4 linked regions of the Arabidopsis thaliana genome follow. The protein of the gene in region 4 interacts with the protein of the main gene of each other region in a biochemical or structural test. Each region holds a gene or a part of one and is shown on either strand. Other genes may lie near its edges. The genes, in order: SOS2, PHYA, MPK3 and NDPK2.

The links.
Region 1: the proteins of NDPK2 (region 4) and SOS2 form a complex in vitro, tested with the Arabidopsis thaliana proteins (one study listed by BioGRID).
Region 2: the proteins of NDPK2 (region 4) and PHYA form a complex in vitro, tested with the Arabidopsis thaliana proteins (2 studies listed by BioGRID).
Region 3: the proteins of NDPK2 (region 4) and MPK3 form a complex in vitro, tested with the Arabidopsis thaliana proteins (one study listed by BioGRID).

The regions. Positions count from the first base shown.
Region 1 is NC_003076.8:13,631,372-13,640,136, reverse strand, and holds SOS2 (Protein kinase superfamily protein), read right to left. Parts: upstream 5,739-8,765; 5' UTR 5,520-5,738; intron 5,222-5,519; 5' UTR 5,205-5,221; coding exon 5,040-5,204; intron 4,954-5,039; coding exon 4,891-4,953; intron 4,793-4,890; coding exon 4,721-4,792; intron 4,636-4,720; coding exon 4,528-4,635; intron 4,431-4,527; coding exon 4,356-4,430; intron 4,288-4,355; coding exon 4,108-4,287; intron 3,984-4,107; coding exon 3,894-3,983; intron 3,791-3,893; coding exon 3,668-3,790; intron 3,157-3,667; coding exon 3,037-3,156; intron 2,809-3,036; coding exon 2,692-2,808; coding exon of another isoform or gene 2,677-2,691; exon of another isoform or gene 2,474-2,676; coding exon 2,417-2,473; intron 2,330-2,416; coding exon 2,255-2,329; intron 2,171-2,254; coding exon 2,075-2,170; 3' UTR 1,762-2,074; downstream 1-1,761. UniProt on the Arabidopsis thaliana protein: Involved in the regulatory pathway for the control of intracellular Na(+) and K(+) homeostasis and salt tolerance.
Region 2 is NC_003070.9:3,093,115-3,102,496, forward strand, and holds PHYA (phytochrome A), read right to left. Parts: upstream 6,717-9,382; 5' UTR 6,314-6,716; coding exon 6,309-6,313; intron 6,110-6,308; coding exon 4,044-6,109; intron 3,846-4,043; coding exon 3,029-3,845; intron 2,959-3,028; coding exon 2,668-2,958; intron 2,586-2,667; coding exon 2,384-2,585; 3' UTR 2,089-2,383; downstream 1-2,088. Other genes in the region: GLP5 (germin-like protein 5), read left to right, coding at 782-896, 981-1,525; AT1G09575 (calcium uniporter-like protein (DUF607)), read right to left, coding at 8,737-9,234, 9,338-9,382. UniProt on the Arabidopsis thaliana protein: Regulatory photoreceptor which exists in two forms that are reversibly interconvertible by light: the Pr form that absorbs maximally in the red region of the spectrum and the Pfr form that absorbs maximally in the far-red region.
Region 3 is NC_003074.8:16,753,810-16,760,953, forward strand, and holds MPK3 (mitogen-activated protein kinase 3), read left to right. Parts: upstream 1-2,761; 5' UTR 2,762-2,783; coding exon of another isoform or gene 2,784-2,975; 5' UTR 2,976-3,108; coding exon 3,109-3,266; intron 3,267-3,349; coding exon 3,350-3,479; intron 3,480-3,567; coding exon 3,568-3,705; intron 3,706-3,806; coding exon 3,807-4,139; intron 4,140-4,231; coding exon 4,232-4,415; intron 4,416-4,497; coding exon 4,498-4,667; 3' UTR 4,668-5,065; downstream 5,066-7,144. Other genes in the region: AT3G45645 (uncharacterized protein), read right to left, coding at 2,784-2,975; NAXT1 (nitrate excretion transporter1), read left to right, coding at 5,444-5,543, 5,644-5,861, 5,945-6,462, 6,539-7,144. UniProt on the Arabidopsis thaliana protein: Involved in oxidative stress-mediated signaling cascade (such as ozone). Involved in the innate immune MAP kinase signaling cascade (MEKK1, MKK4/MKK5 and MPK3/MPK6) downstream of bacterial flagellin receptor FLS2.
Region 4 is NC_003076.8:25,369,757-25,376,488, forward strand, and holds NDPK2 (nucleoside diphosphate kinase 2), read right to left. Parts: upstream 4,149-6,732; 5' UTR 4,083-4,148; coding exon 3,843-4,082; intron 3,663-3,842; coding exon 3,606-3,662; intron 3,461-3,605; coding exon 3,374-3,460; intron 3,154-3,373; coding exon 3,073-3,153; intron 2,979-3,072; coding exon 2,866-2,978; intron 2,777-2,865; coding exon 2,727-2,776; intron 2,434-2,726; coding exon 2,366-2,433; 3' UTR 2,148-2,365; downstream 1-2,147. Other genes in the region: AT5G63290 (Radical SAM superfamily protein), read right to left, coding at 1-223, 315-1,138; AT5G63300 (Ribosomal protein S21 family protein), read left to right, coding at 1,366-2,019; NPX1 (nuclear protein X1), read right to left, coding at 4,657-5,898, 5,988-6,118, 6,211-6,277, 6,375-6,499, 6,589-6,672. UniProt on the Arabidopsis thaliana protein: Major role in the synthesis of nucleoside triphosphates other than ATP. The ATP gamma phosphate is transferred to the NDP beta phosphate via a ping-pong mechanism, using a phosphorylated active-site intermediate. May activate MPK3 and MPK6.

The sequences.
Region 1 (8,765 bases), about 12 Mb from region 4:
ACTAAACATTGTCCCCAAATTGAAGCATTTCTTGTGGAGGACAGCTTCGCTTGCTCTCGGGGTTGCCGATAACCTAAGGCGACGGAACATCATCATCAATCCATACCGTGCACACTGTTGCACGGAAGCTGAAACAGGGAATCACATCTTTTTTTCCTGTCCGCATGCGGAAGCGGTATGGAGGACCACTTGCCTAGACACCACCATACCATGTAACTCGCAAACACCCCTGGAAGACAAATTAAGGTACCTCTTTAGGATTCACGACGATAGGAATGTCGATGAATTACACAGGTACCTCCCTTTTTGGATTATGTGGAGATTATGGAAATGCCGTAATGATCTAATATTCAACAAAAAGCTTATTCCGGCACGGGAGACGCTCGAACTGGCAACAACGGACACTCAGGAGTGGATTGAGAATGTCATTAAACAAGTGAACACAATTCCGGCTCCTCACACACAGAGAACAAGAAGAGATAACTGGCTACCACCACCTAGGGGATGGGTGAAATGTAATTATGATGCGTCGCATCATGAAGGAGCTGGAGCCTCAGGACTTGGTTGGATAATTCGTGATTCCAATGGCTTTGTGTTGGACTGTGGTATGGGACAATTTGAAGGACGAAATACGATAGAAGAAGCTGAATGTACATCACTTATCTGGGCAATACAGGCTGCGTGGGGATTAGGATACCGAAACGTAATATTCGAAGGGGATAATAAAACCATCAACCAAGTTATTAATACGTACGGTGCTCATCTTCGACTCAAACACTACATGGGGACAATACAACATTGGAGAAGTGGTTTCATAAACTCGAAATTCTGTTTCACCCATCGTGAACAAAATGCCTGTGCCGATCTATTAGCGAAAAAAGCTATTTTAGGTCCAAATCTCTGGTCTTTTGTATCATTCTTGTCCTGTATTTTTGATGTCTCTTGTAAACAATGATTATGACACTCGTCACTAATAAAGGTTTTAGAAGGAAAAAAAAAAATGAATATCAAAATCAACAAAAAACCATAACCAAAATTTTTTCCAACAATTTTAAAAACAAAAACCCATGCATGTATGTTCATCTAGTTTTTAAAAAAATAATACAAGTGTATATACTGTACTTTGTATATATTATCAAAATGCATGCAAAGATATGAAGATAAAATAGTATAATATTAGATATTTAGAAAGAAATCAATGTACCCCCTTATGCTTTAAGGGACTCATATTTATAATTTACATTAATTTGTTAATTAATGTACTAAGCGCTCTTAAAAGTGTTCGCTTTGATTCTCTAATCAATGTTGTAACGTCTTCATTTGAATTCCTTTGAACCCTTCATGGGCCTCCGAATGCTCGGCCCGTTACCCATTCTCAAACTCATCTCCTTTTCGCTCCGTTGTACAAACTCTTCGGTTCGCTCGGCTTCAACTATGGGCTTCGGTCGAGAGCATGTCCCGTTGACCGTTGTCTTGTTGACTTTTAGGTGGCAAGCTTCGGATGGATCCGAACACATAGTTCGAGATTCGACACCAACAAAAATAACGATATTAATTTGAGTATTAGATTGAGACTTGTGTTATGTATGAATTGATGTTTGTGTTATGAAATGATATTACATGTATCATGATCATATGAGTTAGCGACTTTAAAAATCAAGGTTTATATAGTAAAATATAACCAAAAAGAACCATAATTTAGTTTAATTAATTTGGGTAGAATTTCTCTAATCCCAAAAAAAAACCCGACAAAACCCTATCGAAAGAATCCAAACCAAATGCTCTGCCTAGCTTAAACTCGTATAGTCTTGACTAAATAAAGGCATAAAGCTCATGTAGTCTAGTAAGCAAACTCATATTGGATGTGTTTTGTTAGTACATGTCTTCGCAGGACAAGTTTTGAGAAGTATTGCCATACACAGAGAACAGAGGGATCCAAACCAATGGCCAAAGCAAACTACAAGACACAATCAAATTAGAATACTAGCTCAAGAAGCAAATCTTCCAATCTCCCTGAAGAATAATTAGGTCATTTATTACACAAGTGTACATTTTTATTGGATTTAAGTTGGGATCAAAACGTGATTGTTCTGAGAATCTCTGACTTTGGTATTCCTTCTGTTGCCCTCCATATTATGTTTTCCAGTTTCGAACATAGCTTCTTGTAGAACTGCGATACCACAAAACAAAATATCACTCTAATCCGCAACACAGTAATGATGCAACTATTGTTATTGGATATATATTTATAAACCTTGTGATATTCAAGAGTTTCACCAGCAGCCTTTCTTACGTCTACCATGAAAAGCGATGGTGCCACCTCGTAAATCTGCATGTAGGTTAATTTCAATTTGCTAGATACCCTTAAACTGAAGCAAAGCAAACTTATATTACAATCACAACAAGCAATAATTACCTCTATCACAACAGCTAACTGTCCGGCCTTGATCGAAGATAATCCCTCGAGCCTTGTCTGTTGAGCACATAGACGTAACAAATCATAACAATTGTACTCTCTGCTAACATTAAAAATGATAATTCACACTAGGACTTTCGTTTTTGAACGCCAGAGATATAAACTAAGTTTCCTTGTCAATCTTATCAATCTATCTACACATGCGTTTAACAGTTGAGAGTTTTAAAATAATGCATAATCTCTGTGATAAGTGTAATATGCTAGGAATTCGTTACCTTGAAGTTTCGTGTATGAGACTTAAAACCCATTGAGTTCGCTACAGCCTCAATGTTAGCAATTATCTCACTAGGTTCCCTTCGAGAAACAAAACGGGTTTGCCTTTTAACAAAATCCTGCGAGATCAAAGGATCAGCCATCAATATGCAGGAACATTTTGGATTCCATTTGTATCTACTAATGCCATGCAACCAATCATCTAATGAACTTATAGTTATTATAACAAACTAAGAACACAGCATCATAAGGCAGTCAAAACGGGCAGTCTGAAGAATAGATGCTACCGACATTCTTTTATTCGAAATGGAGATCTCTATGACCAGTAATAGAAAATCAGGTACTACCTGTCGCCTGTCAAATAGTGCAGATAAATTTAAGCCTTGTGATAAGGTAATCATCTCAAAGGCATTCATCATCAGGGGCCCTTCATCATTTCTCTCTACATTCTCCGCTACATAACTGCCCTGTGAACAAGTGCAATTGACAGGTCAACTTAATGAAAAACAAGTAAAAGTAACTTTAGCTAAGACAGATACTGAGGTTTTAGTTTAACAATTGAAGTACAAGTTTTAGAAGAGCAAGAGCCTGAGTTTAAGTAAAACATTCTAAATATGCATTAGAAATTACGGTATCTATATATATCTAGGCTATACCAAAGCTAAGACAATCTTAGCAGGAGATATATATTGATAGGTACATGAACATTGTAATTAGCCCTAGGGGTATTCTGGATTTTGTCTAGGGTTTTTGGTCGAGAATAGAGAATTCTCTTGTAAATCTAAGTCTTCCTAAGGTCTATGGTTTGGCGAATTGAATAAAGAAGCAGTTTACAGGTTTGGTAACTAACACATGCCTACTATTTTGTTCTATCCTGTAGCAAACACTTCTTCTTGGTCATCCAAACGTTCCTAAGAGATCTTAACATTTAAATGGAATTGACCAGCAAAGAGCATATAATGAAGGCGAAGCACAAACCTCAATTCCATCAAAAACTGCACGAATATCATCCAAATTCACTTCTTCTTCTTCCCTTGCTCGTATAGGCACATAATTTAATCTGAACCAAGGATCTTTCTTGATTCCTTGAATTTGAATACGCTGCTCTAATTGAGAAACAATAATAGATAAACAGATATAATTACTAGAACATTAAATATCACCAAAACCTGATAGCTAGGAGAGAACAAAGCAAAATACTCACTGTTTTGGGATTGGGGTCAAGTATCCTATGTATTAAAAACTTCACTTCTGCGGAAAACCACGGTGGACAAGAAAACTCTGCTGCATTTATCTGTAAATAACAATGTGTAAAAGCTCAAAACTAAGGGTGAAATTGCAAAACCAAATCAATAAACGGTTTGACAAAAGCCATGACAAGGAATTCATGATTTCTTCCCGAAAGATATGTTACTTACTTTTCTGTACAACCCTGGAAGATCCGTCTCGGAAAAAGGTAAATATCCAGCCAATATAACGAAAAGAATAACCCCGCAAGACCAAATATCAGCTGCTGAACCATCGTAACCCTGTCCACTAAGTACCTCTGGAGCTACATAGTTCGGAGTTCCACATGTGGTACGCAGAAGTTCTACTCCCTGATTGAGTATATAACAAGTTAATGACCACGTAAGCAGACTGCTGAAGCAGAGATAAGAGCACTTACTTCCTGAGGCAATGCACTGAGTCCGAAATCCGAAACCTTCAGATTTCCATTTGTATCGAGTAAAAGATTTTCTGGCTAGATAACATAACATAGCGACACAAAAATATCAAGTCTGGATTGCAACGCAGTGAGATATTCTGAGGAATATTGGTAAACAAAAACACGTCTTTACCTTTAGGTCACGGTGGTAAACACCCTTGCAGTGACAATGAGCAACAGCATCTACAAGCTGTTGAAAGTATTTCCGAGACTCACTTTCTTCAAGCCTCCCTTTATGAACCTGCATGAAAGATTTCATATATTAAAAAATTAAGTAGAGAGGTTTTAACTAATGGACGCTGCCTACAAGTATGGAAGTTCCGTACAATTCTATCAAAGAGCTCTCCTCCTGTCACAAACTCCAAAACTATATATATTTTCGAAGGACTCGCCAACACCTACATCGGGAAAATCACAAAAAAACAACAGAAGAACAATGATGCAAAAACACTTCAGAGATAAAATTTCGCAGATGCATGGAAACAAACAAACATACCTCATACAACCTCACTATGTTCGGGTGACGAACAATCTTCATTATAGATATCTCTCTTTTTATCTGTAAAAGAGCTTTAAACGAAATCAAAGATCATACCATTGACGCAACAACCTTAGTTTCCATGTAAAAAACAATCCAGAACATACCTGATCAACCATTCTGTTCTTAAGTATTGTACTCTTAGCCATAATTTTGATGGCTACATTATCACCAGTGTCTGTGTTCCTCGCAAACTTAACCTTAGCAAAGGTTCCTTCACCTATTGTGCGACCAACCTCGTACTTGCCCACTCTTCTCATTTTCTTTGTCATTCTTTACAAACTTTTATCTGATCCATTGACCACAAGCTATCAATCAGATTATTCAGAGACTTAGTAAAAACCTCTTTCCTTAAACGTTTATGATTTCGATTTCAATTACTTTACGTATTGTTTGCTAATTTTAGCTCCTACACATCCATATATACAAAATTACTCTGTATCCATAATTTTGATTTCGCAGCATAAATCAACATAAATTCGATCAAGGAAACGACGAAAAGGTAAGGATCAAGATCATAATCAATATATAAAATTCGTACGGCTGGAATTGCGATTGGGCGTAGTCGAAAGAGAATCGTGAAATACCAGAATTGGATTCGCAGAGAAGGGTTGATGAAAGAGGCGTAGGAGAGAAGGAAGGCTCGTGATGCGATTCGCGAAAGCCGTGAATCGTCGATGCGAACGTCCGTGCAGATCCGTTGAGCATTTCGGGTCGGGTTATTTGACTGTACCCGTATACGACCTGAATTAGTCGTTCGGGTCAATTATCCGTTTGGGTGATTAAACTTTTAAAAACTAACATTGCATTTTGAATCTTTCAATTTAATAATTGTGAGGTTTTCAAAATTTAAAAAAGAAAAAAAAAACTAATCTAATATCACTTATCAATTTAGTAAATTATTTTTAAAAAATAAACATATAGTATTTTCAAAATTTATTTTAATTTTTTTCAAATTATCTAGACTATGATTAATCGAACTCAAATTAGTAAAATTTTCTATTTTTAACTACAAATTTTTAACTTCATTTAAGTCAAGCAAGGTTCAAAAAAACCAAGAGAACAAGGATGTCTAAGTTTAAGACAAAGCATACAAAGATACTTTCCAATGCTACAAAGTGATATATAAAAAAGTTCGATAAGGATTCGTGAGAGTTTGGAAACAAACACTAGGGAAAAATTTGGCGTAAGTGATAACACGGTTTATCGACGGTTCATTCACAAAGCAATGGTCAAAAAGATGGTCACGGTCAATATACTAGGTGATGTTGAAGAGGCTTTTATGGCCTAGATTTTCGCCGGCACGAGAAGAGCTTCATCAACAAGGAAGAGGACTATGGTTCTATAGTCGGTTGGGATTTGCTTTAAAGGTTCAAGATCTTTTTTAAAAAGTTTGAAAACTTCTTGATAGTCCTATAGTCGGTTGGGATTCACATTAAATGTTCAAAAATCATACATACAAAGTAACGATGACAATGTCAATGAAAAATTGGCAATGAAGATGATAAGAAGGAATACAAGAGCAAGAAAATAATGAATGTGAAGAGAAATATGAAATGTAGGTGTTGGTGGCTAATTGAATATAAGAAAAAATATTGATAAGAATGAAAAAGTATTACAGTAATATTTTTGCATTATTAAAAATAAAAATAACTATACATTAGTACTTTTGCATTATGTTTTTTTATATAAATAACGTAAATGAAACTTACAAAACAATTCCGTTAAAAAGTTATCAATAGTAATTTTTGATTATTAACTTATGATCATATGTAGGGGTGTCAAAATGGGTCAAAATTCATGGGTCAACTCAACTCAACTCAACCCATGAACCCTAATGAGTTGAAATTTTTGACTCAAATGAGTTGATGAGTCAAATGAGTTGATGAGTCAATTGGTTTGATGAGTAAAATGAGTTAGGTTGTAATGGTTAATGGTTTCCATGGTTTATCCAATTAACCCATCAAATTTTGTAAAATTGAATAAAACCAACTAAAATCTCTAAACCAATGCCAATTTAGGTTTAACCAACACATCTAAACCAATTTAATAAAATTAATATTTTTCCAAATTTCTTAAATATACAAGCAATGAAATTGAGAAAAAGTAAACTCGTAATTTTTCCACCAAAAAACATAAATCCGTGATTTTCCCGCAAAAAAAAGTAAACCCGTGATTTTCTCGCAAAAAACGTAAACCCGAGATTTTCCCGCCAAAAACGTAAACACGAGATTTTCCCGCCAAAAACGTAAACCCGAGATTTTCCCGCCAAAAACGTAAACCCGAGATTTTCCCGCCAAAAACGTAAATCCATAATTTTCTCGCCAAAAACGTAAACCCGTAATTTTCCCACCAAAAACGTAAACCCGAGATTTTCCCGCCAAAAACGTAAATCCATAATTTCCCCGCCAAAAACGTAAACCCGTAATTTTCCCGCCAAAAATGTAAATCCCGTGATTTTCCCGCCAAAAACGTAAACTCGTAATTTTCTCGCCAAAAAACGAAAACCCGTGATTTTCCCGCCAAAAACGTAAACCCGTGATTTTCCCGCCAAAAACGTAAATCCGTGATTTTCTCGCCAAAAACGTAAATCCGTGATTTTCCCGCCAAAAACGTATACCCGAGATTTTCCTGCCAAAAACTTAAACCCGTAATTTTCCCGCCAGAAACGTAAATCCGTAATTTTCCCGCAAAAAACGTAAATCCATGATTTTATCGTCAAAAACGTAAATCCATAAAAAGTGTAATACGTAAATATCCTAAGTTTGATGATAATGAATTAATAATGATAATTATTTATTATGTTTTGTAATAATAATTAATTAAATTATTACTTAAATGGGTTAACCCATTTAACAACTCAACCCATCAAATTAAATGAGTTATGGGTTGACCCAACTCATTTTGTTACCCTAAACTCATTTGATTATAAGTTGAGTTGAGTTGACTTACCCATTTTGACACTCCTAATCATATGTCAATGTATAGCTAATTAGCTACTAAAATGATTACTAAACAAAAAACATATATTAAGACAATCGATAACAACAAACCTCGCATAGCGGGGGTTAATAACCTAGTCTATACTCTTAAAAAAGTCGAGATTATTTGCTTCTTAGAGCATCCACATAGATTTTAAACAACCAATCGAGATTAGCCATCTCGCTAATTAACATTTATTAAATTATTCTTTTTCTATTTTTTAAATTTTTTGTAAAATAGAAAAAAACCAATATATGAAAATAAAAAAAATATTTTAAAATATGGAAAAGTTTCTAAATGTTTTGTCACCAAATAATATAAACATTATCAAAATATAAATTTCTATTTTATTAAATTTATAAACGAAAATAAATAATTTATTATTAGTCTCTCTAAATTTATTAGTGCTTCATAGATAATTACAATCAATATTTAATCACAATAAGTATCTCATTAAATGATATTTTTAAAATTTACGCTTTTTATATTAAAAACAAAATATTGAAAGAAAATGAATTGTAATAAATATGAGAAATGATGACAATATATGGAAGCAAGATGTATATAAATTTAGTTATTATAATACATTAAATAATTCATATTAATCTCACAATTTTGATTAATCTATCCTATTTTTATAAGTGAACAATCCCGATTAATCGAATCACTATTGATATTTTTGACATCACGTTAATTAATATTATTAAATTATATATTATATAGATTAAGATATTTATGAAAGAAAAAAATATATATGTAAAACATAGAAATGTAAACTTTTGGAAAACAATATATGAATATGAAAAGAAAATCTGTAGAAAAAAAAGAATGTAAATTTTTGAAGAACAATA
Region 2 (9,382 bases), on a different chromosome or scaffold from region 4:
TCACTAATAAATTTAACCAATTCTATTTTCTCTACATCATGCACTAGTAAAAAAAAATTTGCCTCGAAACAAAAAAAAACACACGATGCCGTATAGGAAGGAAGCAATAAAGAATTCAAAACGATTTGTTGTTCCGTCTTCAATGCATTACGCGTCGTATTAGATGAGGCTTTTAACACTAAAAAGCCCAAACCAACGGTATCGGGTATTATCACCTAAACCCAACCCATTAAAGACAACGCGTAGCTTCACGCGCTTCACGATTCGCGTGAGAAGAACTAACCCTGAAACGCGGACGTTGCAGATTAACGGTGAGGCATGAACGAGCGTGTTAATATATAATGATTCTTCTCTCACGATGATCAAAATACAGAAGCCAACAAGTAAAATTAGTTTATGCAGATAAGACAACATTTATTACCTGATACATACTTTATTAGGTGATAATAATTGATAATTGTTTTTTATAAGCCACTAATAATTAAATAAAAATAATATCAGTACCGTGTAAAAGCAAAACTAGTGTAAACATAAATTTTCAATTGGCAAAGCTCTGATCCATCCGTTTTAGTAATTCGTTGACCTTTGACATTTCACTTAGACAGATGTGTGCAAGAAAGAAAAACAGCATGTTGCTTGCTTTTTCCCTCAACGAGAAAAGTCACCCTCTCTTCAATTCTTCAATTCTCCTCCCTTTATAAACCATAATTCATTAATTCTCTTCTCTCTCAACAACTACTTGTTTAGAGAGAGTCCCACCACCACCACTACCACAATCCCAATGGCTTCACCAACTCTTACTCTCCTCCTCCTCCTCACCACCGTCTCCTTCTTCATCTCCTCCTCCGCAGATCCTGACATGCTTCAAGATCTCTGCGTCGCTGATCTTCCCTCTGGTACTTGCAAAAACCTTTACTTTCATCTCTTTTCCTAGAAAAAGATTCAATTTCTAATCTCTTTCTTGTTTTTCTTTTTTGCAGGAATCAAAATCAATGGCTTCCCTTGCAAAGACGCAGCTACAGTCACATCAGCCGATTTCTTCTCACAAGGATTAGCTAAACCAGGTCTTACCAACAACACATTCGGTGCCTTAGTCACAGGAGCTAACGTTATGACAATCCCAGGACTCAACACACTTGGTGTCTCCCTCTCTCGTATCGACTACGCACCAGGAGGCTTAAACCCACCTCACACCCACCCACGTGCCACTGAGGTCGTTTTCGTCCTCGAAGGAACACTTGACGTTGGGTTTCTCACTACTGCCAATAAGCTAATCTCTCAATCTCTCAAGAAAGGAGATGTCTTTGCTTTCCCCAAAGGACTTGTCCATTTCCAGAAGAACAATGGTGATGTCCCTGCTTCTGTTATTGCAGCTTTCAATAGTCAGCTTCCTGGAACTCAATCTCTTGGTGCTACTTTGTTTGGTTCTACTCCTCCTGTTCCTGACAACATCTTGGCTCAAGCCTTTCAGACTTCTCCAGGAACTGTTAAACACATCAAATCCAAGTTCCAACCCAAGAAATGATCATCACCCTTCCTTTATATTCATTACTACAGTTCTGTTTTTTTCTAAAGGGAAGATCTTTTTATCTTCTTTGATTTGTCTTCTGTAATAAAAAAGGAACAATAACTGATGATCTTCAGTGTGCATTTGAGCTCCATAGTCTCATGTATTCGTCTTCTTGTATAATCCATATTATTTTTTGTTCAAAGTTGACTAAAGACAGGTAAGAAGTCGAGGTTGATCTAATCTAAAAGCTTTCAAAACAGGTAAGCTAATTTATCTGACTTTTCAGATAAAATAATCAACTTGAGAGACTCTTAACGTATGGGTCTAATAAAACTGATTACTTAATTAACATGATAACTTATTTTTTACTTCACACACCATGTGCTTCTTCTAACAGAAAACTAAGTGTACTTCATATGGCCAGCTAATAGATCTCTGTTAAGTTCGAAGAACTATGTTTGCTTCTTCATGGAGTTGAGCCAAAGCTAATTGTTTGAAACCAAGACTTCTTGCAACATAGTCACGAATCATGCATTACCTCTAATACCTTAAAAGAAGGAGATTATATGAAACTAGATAGAATATTTGTTTGAGTTTCTGCCATTATGATAAACCATGGACCGTAAACATTAGCTCATTTCTCCTATATTACTTATTTTGAATGATACATCATGAAACCAAAACACTCAGGAGGAGATTAGATATGCATCCATATTTACAGCTTCAGAAAAGAGTTCAACAGAAGATGTAAATGGATGGATATTTCATCGTTACTGAAATTTGAAAACGAAAACAAAAGCGATAAGGAAAGTTACAAGCAAAGAACAACCAGTGACTATTTTATATCAAGCCAGACCCCTTTTCTTTTGGGGACTACTTGTTTGCTGCAGCGAGTTCCGCAGTGATAATGAAACTTGATTTCCCAGCTTGTCTCAAGTACTGAACATCTCCATTCATCAGCTTCACCAGTTTCCGGCTAACCATTAAGCTCAATCCTTCTTCTGACACATCTTCCTCAGTCCCAAACATTTGGTTTAGTAAAAACTCAGGTATCCCAGCTCCGGTATGCGTTAACCTGTTTTCATAATCCCAATATCCTCAATGCACTGTTTTTAACATCATATTATGCATTCTGATTATGAATATATCTATTTTACCTGATCTCTAGATTAGCAAGATGCACAGAACGCCCGAGCTGATCCTTCCTCAGGGAAGCTGAAACAGTTAGCTGACCTCCGGATGGTGTAAAGTTTACAGCCATCAGCATGAAATCTGCCAAGACTTGTTGAAGCCTAATACTGTCTCCATACAAAGTGTCAGACATTACTTCTTCTCCGGTCTCATTTGTTATCCGAACACTCTTTCCGTTACTCTTCATCATTACTTGACTTGTGGAAGCAGTCAACACTTCATTTAAGGTGAATTCTTTCATTTCCAAATCCAAGCATCTGCACAGTCAAATTCCAACATAAGAACACAGATAAACCATATTTTAAATGGACTTTCATTCTAGCATACCCTTCAATGATGCTTTCAAGATCCGAATCATCGAGGATCTTGCTTAGTTGCTTCTGACATAACGCGCTAGTTTGCAAAATCCGTCTTTGCTCTGGTCCTAATTCAGTACCCTCTATCATTTTCCTTGTAAACATGATCCCAGATAGCGGATTCCTGATCTGTCTTTTTATGTATGCTAGAGCCTTTAGTCTCTTCACTGCGGTTCGCTCAGCTAAACGTTGAACATGGAGCGCTTGCTGCAGCTCATGGCTGGCAAGTTGCAGGAAACAGAAGACACCTGTCACTACACCTTCCCTGTCCAGTTTCTTACTCACACACAACAGACACTCCACATACTTGCCACCTCTTGTAAAGAAAGCAAACGATACTTTCTCTGGATCTTGACTGGTCACAGCATTGTTCAGCACAATCCCAAGGTTTACAAAGGCTTCTTGATTCTTTAGACGACAACATGACTTCTGCGTCCCAAATACTTCTCCTAAGAGCATTTTGTCAATCACTTCCTCTCGCTTCAAACCGGTTAACTTTGACATTGCTGGATTCCACTCTGTGCACCATCCAAACTCATCGGTACCAAATATTGGCGGGATCAGCGGGTTTGGATTTTGGATGATTGCCTTGTAATCACCTTCAATCCGCGTAAACTTGTCCATCACAGTCTTCTGGCCAGTAAGATCATGGGCTACAAAACACACCCCAACCACGTTTTCATGGAGATCTCTACTTGCGCATGCATTTACAACTAAACTTATTGGCCCAGCATCAGCCCTGGACAGATGTGTCTTGATCTCAAACTGGACATTCTGCTCCTCAGTTCCTGCATAGATAAGCAAGTGAAGTTATAGACTCGGCTTCAGTGTTTGATAAAATTGGAAAACAAAATTCCATCATTAAGAACCAAAAACAACACATTGCATCAAGTTTCTTCGACCACGATACTCAATTGGAACTTGAATAGTGAAATCTAGTTGGAAGATTCTTAGCAAACTCAGCATAACTTAGGAAGAGAGTTTACCTTCTAATGCGTTCTCTAGCATCCTTTTAACGATTTCCACTGAAGAATCTTCAACAAGTGTGAGGAAATGCTTCCCGATTGCTTCATCAACCGAAAGACCAGTCAGCTCAGCAATTTTCGTGTTCCAACCATTAACCAGTCCATCAGAATCAACCGCCAATATTGGCACCGTAGCAGTCTCAATTAAACGAACCATCTCACTGGTCACAGCTTCTAGTTCTTGTATACCATCAATTTTGAGATCATTTAGCTTCGAGTAAATGACCTTTGTATTCACATCAGTAGTTTCACTATCCTTGAAAGCATTCCTCAAAATAAGTTGCAAGGAGTGTATGGCATCCATCTCATAGTCCTTCCAAGGTAAACTCCTTGTCTTGACCACTTCAAGGAAAGCCTTGAACGATGACCTTGGGTGCATTCTCCTTGCATCATCCCTATCATCTGGATCATGCTTCGCACCTCCCCATCTCACTTCACCAGCGGTATGAGAACGGAACCAGAAAATCATGTCTTTCGATGATATCCTCACAGCTGCCATCCCACATACCGAATCCCCGAGAGATAGAGCCCTAGGAAACCCGGCGTCATGCAAACTATCAGTGCTCAAACCCGTTGAATCCATGTGGTATTCACACAACCATGAAGCTATCTCCTGCAGGTGGAACTCACTTGGAGTTGTTCCCAGTTTCCATATCTTGTCTTTATACAAGAGAGCTGCTCCATCACATTTCACAAGGTCCATTATGTTGGGGCTTTGCGACACAATACCCAGTGGAGCATCACGCATCAGCATATCGCACAAGAGTGTCTGCGTGCGCAAAATGTTCTTCTCCACCATCTGGTTATCGAGTTCCACCTCCTTATTGACGTGTATGGCAAACACTTGAGCTAGAAACTCACAGGCATACCTGAGAGGAAATGGAACAAACCTCGGAGTCGTATTGTGACAAACCACTAAACCCCATAGTCTCTTTCTCTTTTGAGGCTGTGTAGTAGCATCAGGAGCATCCCCTTCTCCATCTTCCTCGTTAACTACAACCGCCATAACCAGAGATGCAATTGAATCCATGTTGGCCATGTACTGCAAATGGCAGCTGTGCGGTGCTCTAAGGGTGGAGCCACACAAGGTAAGGTCAAAGGAAAGCTTTTCATCTTGAAGCACCCTAGCATGTTTTGCATTGCAATCAACTATCATCCGGACCTTGTTCTTCATAAACAGAAAACGGGCTGCTTGAGGGATGTCGGTGGCAGGATAATGCAGCCCAAGATAAGGCTCCAGCCCAGGTTTTGTAACCTCGGAGACAACCTCACCGTGATCATCTTCATGAAACTTATAAGCCATCACCCTGTCATACCCCGTGAGTTCAAAAACCTCTTGAACCATTGTATCACAAAGCCTTTCCATACTCCCGCTGGGTAAAGATTGCAGCCTAGTGATTGCTTTGGCAGCGAGCTTGTATGATTGTAAGGCACCAGCAGCTGTCATGGGGACTTCATAAGGCTTCACGGGTTCAAAGTCGATGATGATGCTCCCTGTAACCCTGTGGATAATCGCATAAAAGGGCTTTGCAGAAGTCCTGCAGTGCACAAGAATGGGATTCAAAAGAGAGACATCTCCAAATCCAAGGGCTTTCTGCAATGCAGACGCACTAGGAGCAGTGAAAAGACTCCTTATATCTGTCCCAATGCCTAGAACAGGGTGTTCGCCAACACTAGGAACTGCATGACTGGCCATTGTCAACAGCTCAGATGCATTCTCGCTGTATGCAATAACTTTGAAGGTCTTCTCATCCAAGGCAAGTAAACAACCGAAGGGCTGAATCAGCTTTCCCTTCTGTATATGATGAAGATAAGTCGTGGTAACTTTGTCAGACCTTGGTGGCTGATTCTCCACAACCGGGCCAGTGACACGCACTGAGGTTGAGTAATCAAAGGAGCTGCCTGACTCCTCAAAATCAGCATGGAGTTTCGCATCTACAGTGGTCTGCGCAATGATCCTAGCGCTGTGCCTTGATCGCCTTGAGCCCTCAGAGGACTGAGTCGGCCTAGAGCCTGACATTTTTTTCCTGACACAGAGACAAGACAACAAAAAATAAGTGCAAAACTCTGATAAAAGAGGGAATAAAACATTCATGCCATAATCATATGAACACAAAAACATTCATCACCAGTCATACAAGCGAATGCATAAGCATAAACTTGAAACACTAAGAACCAATTCAGAATTTCAAACACACAGTAAAAAGAGTTATGAACTTGACTAACTCCATCGAGAATACATAGCTAAACCCAGAAACAGGACGCAACAGATGCAGGAATCATCGTGTCATATTCCAAGGTTCAATGATTTATCATTTTCAAAGTAACTGAACCAGTCAGATTCCATGAACACTTCCTTTCTAAGTCATCCTACAATCCAAAATCAACAACATCTTGACTATGAACAAGTCGCACAAATAATAGTTGATAGTTAACAGGGTAAATCCACTACACAAATACTAACAAAACGAGGATCTGAGCTAATATCAGCCTCTCAAGATTCAAACACAGCTACATACATAAAGTAGACTCAATAATAAACTCTTAAGAGTCTTTATAGCTAGCTATACCTTTCAAAAGGAACAATAAAGTCCCCACAGGGAAAGCAATCGTAGGAGTTAAAAGCGATAAAAGGATGAGATTAATTAATTGGATGCTTCTTCTCATAAATGATCACACACTATAAAAAGTTGAGTAAAACAAACACACATCAAGCCAGATCGAAAGAGACCTACAAAACCTTTATATCGCAGAAAACAAGAGGGTATTGATGACAACAGAGGATAGCTTTAAGAAATTAACTTCAAAGTTAGAATCAATTTCAGTAAGAAGAGTGAGACCAGTAGCTAGCTGGTAAGCTCCCAGCAGAAATCAATCGAAGCAAGCTTCAATATATATAGTTAAAAAAAGAAAAAAAAGGAGGAAACTTTGGGAAAAGGAAAGTAGGTACCTTTAAAGAGAAGAAAGAAGAAGAAGAAGTTTCAAGAAGCCATGATCAGATCTTGTGACTAGTCACACTCGTCAGAGGCTTTTTGTTATAGTTAAATTCTAAATCTTGGCCTCGATCACCACCTTCTCTCTTGTGCTACGCCTCTCTATTATTTGTGCTCCCTAACACAGACGACGACGATGAATGGGACCACCCCGAATACGTATGCCCATGTCTCGGAGTATGGGCGATTTGTATATTTTATAATGGAATAAAATAAAAGAAGAAAAAAGCTTAATTTGGATAAAAGACAAACTTCACACACATATCAAGAACAGGGTCGGCTTCGCCGGTAACATTTTCCTCGCTAAAACAGAACAGTGGGCTTAAGATATATCAAGTACTACTACTTGTAAATCTTGGCAACTTTCTGGGGAATATTAATTGATATTTTCACCGATGTGACTAAGACTGTGTAATGAGGAAAAAAGAAGTAAAGTGGAAGAAGAACAAAATGGGGTTGATTCTTATAAATCCGATTGAAGAGAATCGTCCAAAGGATAAGAGATCAAAAGTAAAAAAAAAAAAAAAGATTATTAATAAAATAAAAAAACGAGAAAGAGAGAGAGAAAGAAAGATGGTGGTAGTTGTTTAATGAAGGCAGTAACCAGAAGTAGAAAGTTGGGTTTTGAGGAAGACGACAACGATAGTCTTATGGGCTTCACGTTTTCTCGGCTTTTTGCGTTTTGTAATCTGTTTCTGGGATTTACTTCAAAGTTGGGACTTTCCTTTTTTGTATTTTTTTTTATCGTTGAAAGAAAGTAATAAAATTTGTAAAACTAATTTAAGTTTATTCGAAGAATTTAAATTTGTTTTATTTTTTATATAAAAAGGGTAAAAAAATCGTTATTAAGGTTTTATTTTTTTTTCGTCAAACAAAATCCATATCGTTTTAACATCATTGTCAAACTTCGATTCGTTCTTATCGCAAATCCACGTTACCATGTTTTCTTAGGTATTTTGCTTCTATCCTCTTAAAGTTAAATCTCCCCCTAAGTTTTTTGCAGTAAATCTCCGGAGAAGATCGAATCGACAACGTCTTATCTAGACAGCGCAATTCAGCATAGATATTGTGGCACAGCTATGTTGGACCAAAAATGTGCCTCCATAATGCAAATGTTGTCCTAGCAACACAGTATCATCCATTAGACATAGTCATGGCCCATGTTGCACATATCTGAATTGGCAAAAGGTACTAATCCCATTTCAGGAATAACACTTTGAAGAACAAAACAAATATGAGCTTAGGAGACTTCTTAATGGCCGGCCAAGAACGCTTCAATCACTAGGGATGTGATGGTTTGGAACTTTAAGGCGCCCTTTGAGAGCTATTTCATTTTCACTCTTTTGATATTGAACTCTCAAAACAACTGTTCATTACCATGTGTTTTCTCGGTTTTTAATGTGTGTATTTGTGTGAAACAAGGCCAATAATCTATATACGAAAATAAAGAAAATGGTTCTTTACACCAAAACTTCCGTATTAAAAAGAACATTTAAAATCTGTTATCGTCACTGTAATAAACAATGTCAATGGTTACTTATGTATAAGAAGTAGAAGAAGATGACGGAAAACAATCTTTGTCACTCTTTTGCAAGGACTGATCATCTTCTTCTTCAGTTTGATGAACCACCGGAGGACATGAAGAAAGTTTTTCATAATAATCAGTCCCTGCGACTCTGCAAAGCATCCTCGAGATCAAGTTCTAATCCAACACGATTCCTTATAGACGCAGCTGCATGACAAGACGACGTCATTTTAAATAACCTCTCCAATTCCTTAAACCTCTCGCAGTCAAACTTATGACTCTTCAACAACTTCCTCTGTCTCGACAAGAAGAGCCTCTTCATGAAATCCTGATATGTCGGATCTCTCGAAGTCATCAAGAAATAAGCATAACCCACAATGATTCCAGTCGCTGTAGCGAAGAAAGTGATTGGTTCCATCACATCCCATGAGAATTCCCAGAAAGTTAATCTAAAAAAGAGTCCAATTTGAACCATCGAAGTAGCTAAACCACACCAAAGAATCTTCCTCACTTGTCTATGAGCCAAAACATCAATCTCTTCTTTCATGATTCTCAATTTGTTGAATTCTTCCTTGATTTGATCTTCCTCTGGATTCTGGTCCAAAGGCATCGCTCTTCTAATCAGATCCACCACCTGAACAAAACAAAAAAGTCCAGATTTTTAGAGAAATCGAGACAAAACAGAGTAAAGTGAGACAAAACAGAGTAAAGTTCTGTTTTTGTGTTCTAATTAAGACCTTGTCTGGGTGAAGATAGACTTTATCACGAAAGATCAAGACAAC
Region 3 (7,144 bases), on a different chromosome or scaffold from region 4:
CAAGAGACAACAAGTGAGAGAGATTGGATGGCTGAGATTTTGGCCGCTTCTAGATCCACGATTGCCTAATAAGAAGAATTAACTATGCCCTTAGATTATTAGTTTATTACGGATCTGCCACTATCTCCGGTTCGATTATTTTTGGTTGGCGTCGGTTAAAGACTGATTTAATTTGGTGGTGGTTTTATTTCAACCCAATGATTATATTTTAATTTTTGTTCTTCTACATATCCGATATTTTCAGAAATCATGTGGAAATAAATCTAAAAATTTAGAAATTTAGTTACAAGTTTTATAAAACTAATCGTCTAATACAATGAAATTTCATCAAAATAATTATTTTTCTATAAATTATGATGATCTAAGTACCGGATTAAGAACAAATTACAAATAAGAATACTGTACACAACAAAACTCAAACATGTGACTTCAGAAAATATTTTACTCGTAAATTAAAACATAAACATACACGAATACTATCCTTCATATATATCTTTGTATCTAAGAGTAACTCAATGTTCAAAATAAAATACAGCTAAAAAAAGTAATAAGCAAAAGAATATGGGATAAACTATTTTAAGCTGAAAAAGTAACAAAGTGATAGAACACACTCATGCATCATTAGTTTATGTAACAAAGAAGAACTCATTTTAAGTTGTTGCAATGGAGACTTGCTTCAAAACCTTTGAACAGTCCACAAGTTTCAAGCTTTTAAACGTTCTACAGATGAACAATGGAATAAACGACTAGGCCATTCTTTTCAAAAGAGTGTTCATAAGGGAAATATCATCCACATGCATTTGGAAGCTCTTTATAAGCTTTCGATTTTGCCCGTACCTAATGATTTTCGTTTGTCCATCTAGGAAGTACTCGATTTAAAGTTTAGAACTAATTTAAACAATCATTGTTTTGATAAGGTTAAGTATTTGAAATCACTTTTAGATGACTTTGGAATAGTTTTAGAAGGTTATAATCCAGTGAAGTTTAACGATGCATCGTTATTCCTTAACATAAATAGAACTCTAACTTAAATAAATTTCATAACAAAATCAATATTTTTAACGATAATGTTGGAACATAAATTATATAGCGCATACGATTATTTAGAGGAATTTGTAAACTAAATATTAATATCTTGTTCGAACTCGAAAATAGCTTACTTTTTTTTCTTCATAAGTGTTGGCTTTGATATATAACAACAAAGTGTTACAATAGTGGAAAACTCCACTTACAGAATTCGATAGGCTAATGAGCATTACGATATTAAATTATCAAACACATATAGATAATCTCCTTTAATTTTCATCTACTCAGAATTGAACATTTTCATAATCTGCAAGTTCTGCTTTATCTTGTCTGCTTTCATTGGAAATGAAATGGTATATGTTGGTCGGTAAAAGACGAATCAAATTTGTAAACTAACAATGAACTATTGAAAGAGTAAATCTTACAGAAATCTCAAAAGAAAATAAGATACTAAAAAGGGAGAAACTGAATCTCTCACTTAATCCCCATTCGGGGAACCTTTACACTTAACACGCGATCTGATGGAGCCATGAGTGCAATCCAATCAATCCAAAACTTCTGCAAGGCCCTCTTACACAGATATCCTAACGAAAAGTAACCACAAAGATCCGCTTCTCAACTCCAAAACCAATTTGCGCAAATAGAGATTTTGCCTATTTTGCTATCTCTTTCTTCTTAAAACAAAGCCTTCTTAAAACAAAAGTCCAACAACAAAAGTCAAACCGAGCCCAATATAGTAACCCATCGAGGAAGGGATAAGAAAGCCATACAACACAGAGACATGTGTCGCCTCATGAGGAAATCACAGACACGTGACGAGAAGAACGTGTTTGTCGAGAATGCCAACCACTGCCGGCATGTTTTCTGAGATCGAAGAACGCCTACCCACCGAAAGTTCGTTCACTCCGCAAAACCAGAAGCTTCAAGTAGAGCACTGAAGACCCTCTAAAGAAATTGCACATCTAGTCTTCCTCTTCCAAACGAAATTAAACTCAGATTTAACAAACGAACGAAACTTTCTTTCATATGAAGGAAAGCGTCCACCATTCCAAAGTAGCATGAAGCATCACAATGACGTAAGCAACCAAAAAGATTTTCCGGTGAGACTTAACGTCGCCATGCCCATCAAGTGAAACTACTACAAAATTTGAACGACAAGGCTTATGAAGCCGAAACTCTTAAACTTCCACTTTTTCTTCGTAATGAAGAAACTTAATAAGTTTATTAGAAATAAAGACAAATAAAGGCAAAATACCAAAGAACGGCGACGATAAAACCGGATTTACCGGTAACTATAACTAGAACTCACCGTACGGTATTGAAACAAAAAGTTGGACCATGTCCGAACACAACCTCACAAACATACGGGAAGGCATACGAAACAAAGAATTTTTTCTTTTTCTCAAAATTTTAGAGAAAGAAGAGAATAAAAAAATTCTGATCGAAAATAGCTTACTTAAAAATCATAATTGAATAGTATCTTTTGTTTTTAAACTAATTTAGTCTATATAATAATAATATTATTAACCATCGTAAACCACACATGATATTCAATACTTATAATAAATTAATCGCATAAAATACAATACTTAAAACGAGTGTTATATAATTTTACGTAACGTAAAACAATACAAAATTTTAATTCCTGAACGAATAAAACGAGTATATTAATTAATTTATTGATCGTATTAAAACGAATATGATCCAATTAAGATTACAATTACTAAAATCCCCACACTATTATTGTCATTATTTAACTATGGCAGATAGATAGATACAGAACCGTAAAGGACGTTAGGAAGAGGAAGAACGTTGACGAAGTCAACAACGAACAGAAACCGTCGATTTGAGGCGGCTCTAATCTCAACCACACGATCTTCTCTGCCTTTCCCTCTTCTCTCTTCTTCTTCTTCTTCATCTTCTTCCTCGCAATTACCGCGAAAACTCATCTCTGCTCAATCCTCAATCTCAGTCTCTCTGTTGACTCCGACTGTTATATAAAACCATACAAATACCTTCAGATTCACTACTTCAAACCTCAAAGCAACCACTGAATCTCGACTTTGATCAATTGAGAGAGAAATGAACACCGGCGGTGGCCAATACACGGATTTTCCGGCGGTGGAAACTCACGGAGGACAGTTCATAAGTTACGATATCTTCGGTAGTTTATTCGAGATCACATCTAAGTATCGTCCTCCGATTATACCAATTGGTCGTGGAGCTTATGGAATCGTTTGGTATGTTTCCTTCTCTGAGCTTTTTCTTAAGTTTTATTCTTTGAGATCGGAGTTTTTAATTTCTGGATTTTGATTTTGTGAAGCTCTGTGTTGGATACGGAGACGAACGAGCTAGTAGCGATGAAGAAGATAGCTAATGCTTTTGATAATCATATGGATGCTAAGCGTACGCTTCGTGAGATCAAGCTTCTTCGTCATCTTGATCATGAAAACGTTAGTGTTTTTGTTCGATTTTGTGAAATATCTGTAGAAATTAGTAAATAAATCATGATTAGGGTTTTTTGATTTGGTATTGCAACAGATTATAGCTATAAGAGATGTTGTTCCACCACCACTAAGAAGACAGTTCAGTGATGTTTATATCTCTACTGAATTAATGGATACTGATCTTCATCAAATCATCAGATCTAACCAGAGTTTATCAGAAGAACACTGTCAGGTAAACTAAAAACTGTTCTTGGCTTTTTTCTGGGATTTATATTTGATAGAAGAGACATGAAACTGATACTTGATTTGGTGTTTTTGTTGTCATGGAAACAGTACTTCTTGTACCAGCTACTTCGAGGACTGAAGTATATCCACTCAGCTAACATTATTCATAGGGATTTAAAGCCGAGCAATCTTCTGTTGAACGCGAATTGCGATTTAAAGATTTGTGATTTCGGTCTTGCTAGACCTACTTCAGAGAATGATTTTATGACTGAGTATGTTGTTACGAGATGGTATAGAGCACCTGAGCTTCTGTTGAACTCTTCAGATTACACAGCTGCTATTGATGTTTGGTCTGTTGGTTGTATCTTTATGGAGCTTATGAATAGAAAGCCTTTGTTCCCTGGTAAAGACCATGTTCATCAAATGCGCTTATTGACAGAGGTAAAATATTTTAGAGAGTTATGTAATTTTAGCATGGTTTAAAGATTCTGCCTTTTCACGGAATATGTGATGAATTTGTTTGAATCTTGCAGTTGCTTGGCACACCGACAGAATCTGATCTCGGTTTTACTCACAATGAGGATGCGAAAAGATACATCCGGCAACTTCCCAACTTCCCACGTCAGCCCTTAGCTAAACTTTTCTCTCATGTTAACCCAATGGCCATTGATCTTGTTGACAGAATGTTGACGTTTGACCCCAACAGAAGAATCACTGGTAAGTTTCATACATGTTCTCTGTTGGTTTTTCTTACCATCACTATGTTTTGATTAAAAACTGAAAATACCATCTTGTGCAGTTGAACAAGCTCTGAATCACCAGTACCTTGCTAAATTGCACGACCCGAATGATGAGCCAATCTGTCAAAAGCCATTCTCTTTTGAGTTCGAACAACAGCCTCTGGATGAGGAACAGATAAAAGAGATGATCTACCAAGAAGCCATAGCACTCAATCCAACATACGGTTAGAAGTGCAGCAGCCCCGTGAATGCCTGGTATTACCCAATAACCATCCGAATGGCTACTTAGTATCTTTGCCTGTTCTTTTATTCATGTACTTCTTCCACATATGTAATCTTGTAACTTTTATTTGTTTGTTCATGTTATTTACTGCTAGTGATTAAGTGTAGCTCCAATGTAAAGTACTCCAGTTATTAAAGAATATCTATAGACTTTTTTACTTCACATACTCTTGAGTCTTCCCTAGTAAACAAAGAGAAGAGAGAATATAATTTTGTAATGTACAGAGCCTCAATATTTGTGGGAGACATTATAGAGCTAGAGCCAGAGTCAATGCTGTCGCCGTGAGTTGTCTATTCTCATTCAATGACTTTCAATAGATTTTAGTGGGATTGGCTTTAGGTAGCTTGCATTATTGAAGTAGAAATGGTCAATTCCTTAGCAATAATTAGGCACAAATGTGTCTTTCTTTAGTAATATTGTAATATCCTTTGTCTGACAATTTAGAGTTGACTTCTAAAACGTTGGGTTGGAAATAATGTTGTCTTCACACAGGCTGTTACGAAGCAGACAGTGATGGCTCAACTTGCATCAACGGAAACCTTTGAGTTTTTGTTTTACTTTCTTAATGTTTCTTTATTTGAAGCTGCTGCGCATGGAGAATAAAATATCGTGGACCCGAGAAAGTCATCATTGCTGTATTATTACTTATACTGTATATATGTTTCAGAATTTCAGGCCATTGTTGACAAAAATAGTGAAAGATTTCTGCTTGATTTTGAGACATGGCTAGTTCAGTTACTGGCGATGCAGAAACAGCGATATCAGCAGATTCAAGCACCAAACGCCGTGGTGGAGGTTGGATTACCTTTCCGTTTATGATAGGTGAGAGATTCTGTTTCTCTGTTTTTATATTTCTCATAACTTCATAACCATTAGAGCTTGGAAGAAGAAGTTGAATTTATCTTATCTTTCTATGGTGCAGCTACGTTGTTAGGCTTGACAATAGCTGCGTGGGGTTGGTTACTTAACTTGATCGTCTACCTGATCGAGGAATTCAACGTGAAGAGCATTGCAGCGGCTCAGATTGCTAATATTGTTAGTGGTTGTATCTGTATGGTTCCAGCTGTTGCAGCCATTGCATCTGACTCTTTCTTTGGAACCATTCCTGTTATCTCAGTTTCAGCTTTCATTTCTCTTATGGTAAAGTTAATAAAGAGTCCTTGACATTTGTTTTTATCAGTTTCTCTCTGAAACAGAAATTCACTAATTCTACTCTTGACCAGGGTGTAGCTCTACTGACTCTAACTGCTTCACTTGACACTTTAAGACCTAGACCCTGCGAAACAGCTTCAATACTATGCCAGTCTCCTTCGAAAACCCAGCTCGGAGTCCTTTACACGGCCATAACTCTAGCCTCTATAGGAACAGGTGGGACACGGTTCACATTAGCAACTGCTGGTGCGAACCAGTATGAAAAAACTAAAGACCAAGGAAGCTTTTTCAACTGGTTTTTCTTCACAACATATCTAGCCGGAGCTATAAGTGCAACCGCCATTGTCTACACCGAAGACAATATCAGCTGGACCCTTGGGTTTGGTCTGTCTGTAGCCGCTAATTTCTTCAGTTTTTTGGTTTTCGTCTCGGGGAAAAGATTCTACAAGCATGACAAGCCTTTGGGAAGTCCCTTCACAAGTCTACTATGCGTCATTTTCGCAGCATTACGCAAAAGAAAAGCTGTGGTTTCCACCAACGAAAAAGACTACCACAATGAATCAATCACAATGCCCACAAAGAGTTTCAGGTAGAAAAACCGGCTCGAAAACCGCAGTTTCATTCTTGCACTGAGAGGCCGTTCTAATGAGTTTTCAAATACGCAGGTTCTTTAACCGTGCAGCATTGAAACAGGAAGACGAGGTAAAACCAGATGGCACAATTCGCAATCCATGGAGACTATGCAGCGTTCAACAAGTGGAAGATTTCAAAGCAGTCATAAGAATCATCCCTCTCGCCTTAGCCACAATATTCTTGAGCACTCCAATCGCAATGCAACTAAGCTTAACAGTTCTTCAAGGTCTGGTGATGGACCGGAGGCTTGGTCCTAGCTTCAAAATCCCTGCAGGCTCTCTCCAAGTCATAACACTTCTCTCCACTTGCCTATTTATCATAGTCAACGATAGGGTTCTCTATCCATTTTACCAAAAGTTAACGGGAAAGCACCTCACACCGCTCCAACGAGTTGGGATAGGCCATGCGTTCAACATTCTAAGCATGGCTGTGACTGCCATAGTTGAAGCAAAGCGATTAAAGATAGTACAGAAGGGTCATTTTCTCGGATCATCATCTGTTGCTGACATGTCAGTCTTATGGCTCTTCCCTCCTCTAGTCATAGTAGGAATCGGTAAGGATTTGATTCCGGATAATAATTCATTCTACGAGTTCAGATCAATCCGACCATGTTCTTGTTTTTTGGTTGCAGGAGAGGC
Region 4 (6,732 bases):
TGAAAACCTCAACCCTCCAACATAACTCGCTGAACCTAAACCGAAAGCATAGAATGGCTTGTTCTTCCAGTATATCAAGTTGTGTTTGCACTTGAAACCGTCTCTCGAGTAACTGCTGACTTCATAATGTTCATAACCTGCACCACGGAGCATCGATGATGCTGTTTTATAAAACTCTGCAGACTGTGTTTCTGAAGGAAGAGGGGACTGTCCTGGAGTGTACCTACACAAGTTCATGAACCCAATTCGTTTCTGTTCAGATTACATTCAAGTTCTTAAGCATCAGTAAGCAAACTTGAACTACGTACACTTACAAATTTCCAAACTTTGTGCCTTGTTCGACTTGCAGATCATATACAGAAACATGATTGGGCTGTGATTCGATAGCTAATCTCAAACTCTCTTCCCACATCTCCAAAGTCTGGTGAGGCAGAGAAGAAATAAGATCCATACTCCAATTCTCAACTCCACATTCTTTAACAAACTCTATTGCTTCATACACTTGAGAGACACCATGAGCTCTTCCACAAGCTTTCAAAAGCTCATCTTGAAAAGCTTGAACTCCTAAAGACACTCTGTTAACTCCCAATTTCATCAAATCCTTCAGCTTCTGACCATCAAACGTGCCTGGATCCATCTCCATTGATATCTCAGCATCTGGACTCAGCCCGAAATTCAAACTCAATGTTTCCAGAATCAAAGAAACAAGCTTCGGAGGAACAAGAGAAGGCGTCCCACCACCGAAAAACACCGTTTCTAGATTCGGGTTCGTATCAAAATCCGTCCTTGTCGCTTTTATCTCTCTAACAAGCAAATTCACATAGTTCGTGATTCTCGGGTCATCTTCTTTTCCTTCCTCGTAGACATTAGACGGTCTGGCTGAAGAAGAAGACATGCCTAGAGCTAAGATAGGAAAGTCACAATAATGACAGCGTTTGCGACAAAACGGAAGATGAACGTAGGCTGAGGTTGGTGGACCTTTGTGTAACGTAGTAAGATTGGTTGACGCATTTCGTCGAGCACTTGGTGGAGTATCTTGTAGAACAACCTTACTAAAAGCTCGAAAAAACAACTTCGATGAGCACTTGGGTTTACCTGTAAACGATGAGAAAATTGGAGAAATCGTTGTTTTCAGCATAATTACCAAATAAAACGAGAGAAAAAGAAAGAGAGCCAGAGAGACGAAGAGAGAAAGCTTTCAAAGATCAAAGTTCACTGGTCTCGTTTTATATGCTTCAACGTCGTCGTTTTAGTCAGAAAGTAGACTCACTAAAGACTTGACCATCTAATTAACACACTAATTACAATTGAAAAATATTATAATAAGAATGAAACGATTATTCACTTATTCAGACGGAAAAAAAAATGGCGCTAGAATCGATAGTCTCTCTCTCGGAGCTTCTCTCTTCCCTTCTCTCGTCGAAACCACCGTCTCCGTCGAGTCTGAAACCTATCACGCTTCCGTCTTCCGTATCCGCGAGAACGTCACAGCATTTGTCGATGACGACGAAGATTTTAACGGCCGAGCACGATGACGTCATCAATCGAGTGGCGTATCCTTCGCTGGCGAACGCGAATCTCGTATTCTTCAAGTCCAGTTACTACAACGTCGAGGTGGTGCCTAAAGACGGCGAATCGGAGGAGCAGCTGGTTAACGATTTCAAGAGGTCGTGTTTCAGAGCGGGTGTGTTGCAGGAATCTCGAAGACGACGCTTCTTCGAGAGCTCTCTGGAGAAGAAGACGCGGAAGACCAAAGAAGCTGCGAAGAAGTATCGGAAAAGGTCAGATTTTTTTTTCACTTTTTCTTCTTTCTTTCGAAAAACACTTGGAGAAGTTGAGTCAATAGATTTTGATTTTACAGGAGACCAAACCCTAAACCAAAACCACTATCAACTTCAGAGATCCGCAAGCACAACAGAAATGCATCCAGAGAAGACGAACAAGACGATCACTGGGAACTTCCTCCTGAGGACATTGAGATTCCATATACCAACCGGTCTTAGAAGTAAACCGGAATGATATTCCGGTACACTGATCTGAGCAATCTTAATCACGCAGCATCTGCGTTTTGTAAAGCCACTCTTTTGTATGTTCTTTTAGCTTGAGATTAGAAAATTTTCATTGCTCGGTGTAGAGTGAAGATGAATGATTTTGGAGGTGTCTGTAACGTAGAACCAAATGCAGATGAATCTGTAACTAGTTTTGATTACATGACAAGTGATCACAGATATGAGAAGAATCAAGCCATAGATTGGCAGTTATATTATATTGCCGCCCAAAATCAGGAACAAAACACCAAAGCTCATCATCGGTAACAAGAAAACAAGTAAGGACACCATTATAATTGACTCTGTCTTCTCAAGGATCACTCCCTTAGCCATGTAGCTAGAGCCGAATCCCACTTGCATAGCTCGCCCTCTTTGAACCACAGACCTATGCCACAACCACAAGAGCCAAAATGTCAGCAAATGAAAACTAAAAGTTTAGCATACTAAGGAATGAGAGTGATTGGTCAAACTAAGTAAATGAAGAAGTGATAGTAATGGTTTAAAACAGATATATTGAACCTAACAATTTCAGTAATCAAGTATGATCTAATCTAGTTATGTTATCAAGTTAATTTGAAGCAGTTTGAACCACGTTGATTTGCCCCTAAACTGGACATAGTCAATGTCTCAACAATGAAAGATGGGTGAATGATTTGAACAAAAAACAAGAAATCTCACCAATCTCACGCTTGCCGTTTTCAGGGCTGTCACTACCATGCACAATGTTCCTGCAAATTGCATAATTTAAAAATATCAAACCATGAGAATTATTTTAAGTGCTTACTTCCAACAATTTTAAAGATGATAGAAGTCCAACCTTCCGGTTTGCACAGCAAGATCTCCTCTTATAGTACCAGGTTCAGCTTGAAGCGGATCTGTTTTCCCTATTAGCTTCCTGGCTGAAGCAACAACACCAACACCTTCCCAAGCCTTTACCAGGTTTAAAACATCACATGCAATTAACTCATCTAATTACAACTTGAAAACAAGTAAAAATCAAATTAGAGCATAGTTATACCCATACCATACACACAACTGGACCTGAAGTGATGTACTCAATCAGGTTAGGAAAGAATGATTTAGCACTAAGATCCTTATAATGCTCCTGGCAATTGAGATAAACACACAAGAATATTAATTATGTCAATCGAATATGAAAAAAAAATGAGGCAGCGTCATCTTACGCAAATGTAGCGAATAAGTGAAATATGCAAGTCATGATCAGGCTTCAATTTCTCGATACTTGTCAATGATTTATTAGTTATATCACATTAAGAAGCAATCTAAAGTTATCAAACTACTGATGTAATGAGTGAGTGTCAAACCTCAGCCAATTCTTTTGGGCACTGAAACATCTTGAGCCCAATAAGTTTAAACCCCTTTTTCTCAAAGCGAGAAATGATTTCTCCTACCTAAGAACATCAAATGAATCATACATTCATAATTTAAGCCAAGATAGTGTAATGAAATAACATTCAAAGCTCCATAGAGTTCCAAGATACATAATTTAACCTCAAAATCAGAAGAAGAAAAAAAATGAAAAGCAAAAACGCTTACAAGGCCTCGTTGTATGCCATCAGGTTTCACCATAATGTAAGTCTCCTCAACGTCCTCCTGAAACAATACAGAAAACAACGTAAGAACAATCAAAAGGTCACTAAATTGCATTGAGATTCATCAAATTAGAATATATCCAAACTAATTTGAATCCTAAATTCCTGATTTCGGAGTTTAATCAATGTAAGTACTAAGAAAACAAAGTAATTCGCATAAATGGAGGGGAAGCACACAAACCATAGAAGCTACAAGGTGAGGAAGGAAGATTCCCGATTCGGCGGAGCTGGAAGCGCGAAGACGGCGGCGAGACGCGGAATTGCGAGAGAAAAGACGGAACTGAGGACGAAATGCGGCCAACGCTGTTCTAAAATTAACCCTGGCTGGAGAACAGTGTGGATTGAGACTTGCCGAGTTTCTCTCCGGCGGCGAAGCCACACATAGGGGAGTCCATTTACTAACTACAGTCGCTCCCACCATTTTCTGCGCTTTGTCTTAGCTTCTCTCAGTGTCTTCGCATCATCATCTTATAAGAACAAAGTTAATTGACATAAATACCCTTTATCCAGAAGCGAAGATAATTTGGGTTTAGTTGATCAATCAAAAAGTATCAGTGCTCAGAAGTAATTTAAAAAGTGATCTCGAGTACAAAGAGTGTCTCGTTTAAATGGAGGAAACAGACTCTTTCTCTTTCCCTGTACAGTTTACTCTTCTAAAAGATTAAAAAAAACAAAAGTCTGCACATTTCAACAGTCGCACAATTTGCTGCTTTAATACCAAACCAAACCATCTTTCTTGTAGCAAAATTGTTTTTTTCTTTTTCTTTTTTCGTCGATTTAGAATCATTGTCAACAGAGTCACGTTGAAAAATAGGCAATACAGACTCATCGTCTTGTCTTCTAGATGTATCTGGCTTTGCCTTTCTTTTGCTTGCTTTAGCCATTTCACGCCACATCAAATTTACATTTTGTGCATAGAAGAATCAATGCGTAAACATCCCCAACTTTTTCTTTTCATCTTGTTGCTTTTAACAAGACCCGGAAAAAAGACTTCATCAATCAATTTCTACATCTATATCTTCCTCTCCCTGGTCAACAAGGTCAGTTTTTTGCCCTGCCTTGTCCACAACTTCGGTTTCTACCTTTCCATTGCCATCAACTACAGTTTCGTTTCCTCCCTTGTCCGAAACTTCAGTTCCTTGCACTCCCTCACCATTGTCAACAGCTTCATTTTCTTCTACCCCCTTTTCGACAACTTCGCTTTTTTGCTCTCCCAAGTCGACAACTCCAGTTTCTTGTTCTTCTTTTTCAGTAACTCTACTTTCTTGCTCTGGCACATTCGCCAATTGTTCTTCTCCTTCAATTTTATTGATGGATTTTTCATCTTCTTGGTTCCCATTATCTTGTGTCTTTTGGCTTACCAGTTCTTCGTTTCCACAATCGAGTTGGTTCTCTCCCTCTTCTCTGTGAGGACTAAGTGTTTGTCCTTCACTTTTGTCAAGGGAAAGTTCTTTTCCTACTCCGACAACTTCAGTTTCTTGCTCTCCTGTATCATCATCTCTACTACTTTCTTGCTCTAGCACATTCTCCAATTGTTCTTCTCTCTCGCTTTGATTGATTTTTTCATCTCTTTGGTTCTCATAATCTTGTGCCTTTTCGCTTACCGATTCTTCATTACCGCTAGCACGTGGGTCCTCTCTCTCTTTTCTGTGAGGACTGAGTGTACGCCCTTCACTTCGGTCAAGGGGATGTACTTCTTCCACTCCCATATCAACAACTTCATTTTCTTGCTTTCTCATATCGACAACTTCAGTTTCTTGCTCTTCCTTGTCACCAACTCCACTTTCTTGCTCTGGCATATTCTCCAGTTGTCGTTCTATTTCATTTGGGTTTATGGGTTTTCCATCTTCTTGGTCCCCATTATCATGTGCCTCTTGGCTCACCGGCTCTTCATTTCCGCTAACGAGTTGATCCTCTCCTTCTACTCTGTGAGGACTATGTTCCTGTTTTTCACTTCTGTCAAAGGGATTGTCTTCTACTTTTCTCTGGCTAAAGTGTGGCGGGTCTTCTTCTTCATCCTCATCCTCATCCATTTTCATATACAGACCTAGATGTTCTAATGGATTACTGTTGCTTTCCATCTTGAAACTACCCAAACCCAACATATCCTCACTAAACTTGGGACTCATCACTTCCATGGAAGTCGGTAATTGATCACCTTCTGTACCTGTAGCTCTAAGCATCTGGAGGTCTTCCATAAACCGTATGCCCTCGTTTATCTCCACTGTCTTTTCCATCTGCAACAGACCAGAAAGTCATTTATCATGATTGTACACCATGGTAGGGCTCTGAATAATAGAAGAGAAACTCGAAAAGTCTTTTATACCTTTTGTAAAGCTTGACGTGCAGCTTCTCTCTCTTGCTCTCTTTCCCTCCTCGCTTTTTCTGCGGCTTCTGCTTTGGCTTTTCTCCGAGCCTCCTCAGCTGCTTTGGCCTCGGCTTGTAACCGTTCTTTTTCTAATCAAACGGAAATCGCAAGAATTAAAAATAAAAGTATTTAGTTAGGAATTATGGGTACATAAGCACACTCGAATGCACTACAATCCAACCTTCCCGTAGCCGTTTTTCAAACTCCTCTCTTTCTATCCTCAATTTTTCAGGATCCCCTTTTTCACCCTGAAATTTGATGCATTAAATTTTTTGATTAAAACAATCCACAAGTTCAGGCGAGCTTTTTCGTCAACACAGTAGATCGGACACTTAAAAATTCAACCTTGGTAAAAGCCTTCTCTCGAGCTTTCATAATGGTATCAGCAAAACGATTCTTCAAGAAAGCCGCGCGGTAACGCTTATCTGGGGAATCTGGGGAAATTTGCCTCTCAGGTGGAGCAGTCTCCTCTATAATACCAAAGCATGACAGGTAAACTCATGATCTGAAAATAAACATCTATTACCATCTCCAACCTTCCTTAACTTTCATTTCTTACCATCTGGAACGAGAACTACTGCATCCATGGTGGTTGACTTTTCCCCAACAGTATGCTCAAGTTGATCCAATTCATTCAAAGAATCTACAGAGAACAAAGAATGAGTGTCGGGAAGACTTCTATATCCGAGCACTCCAACTTGCA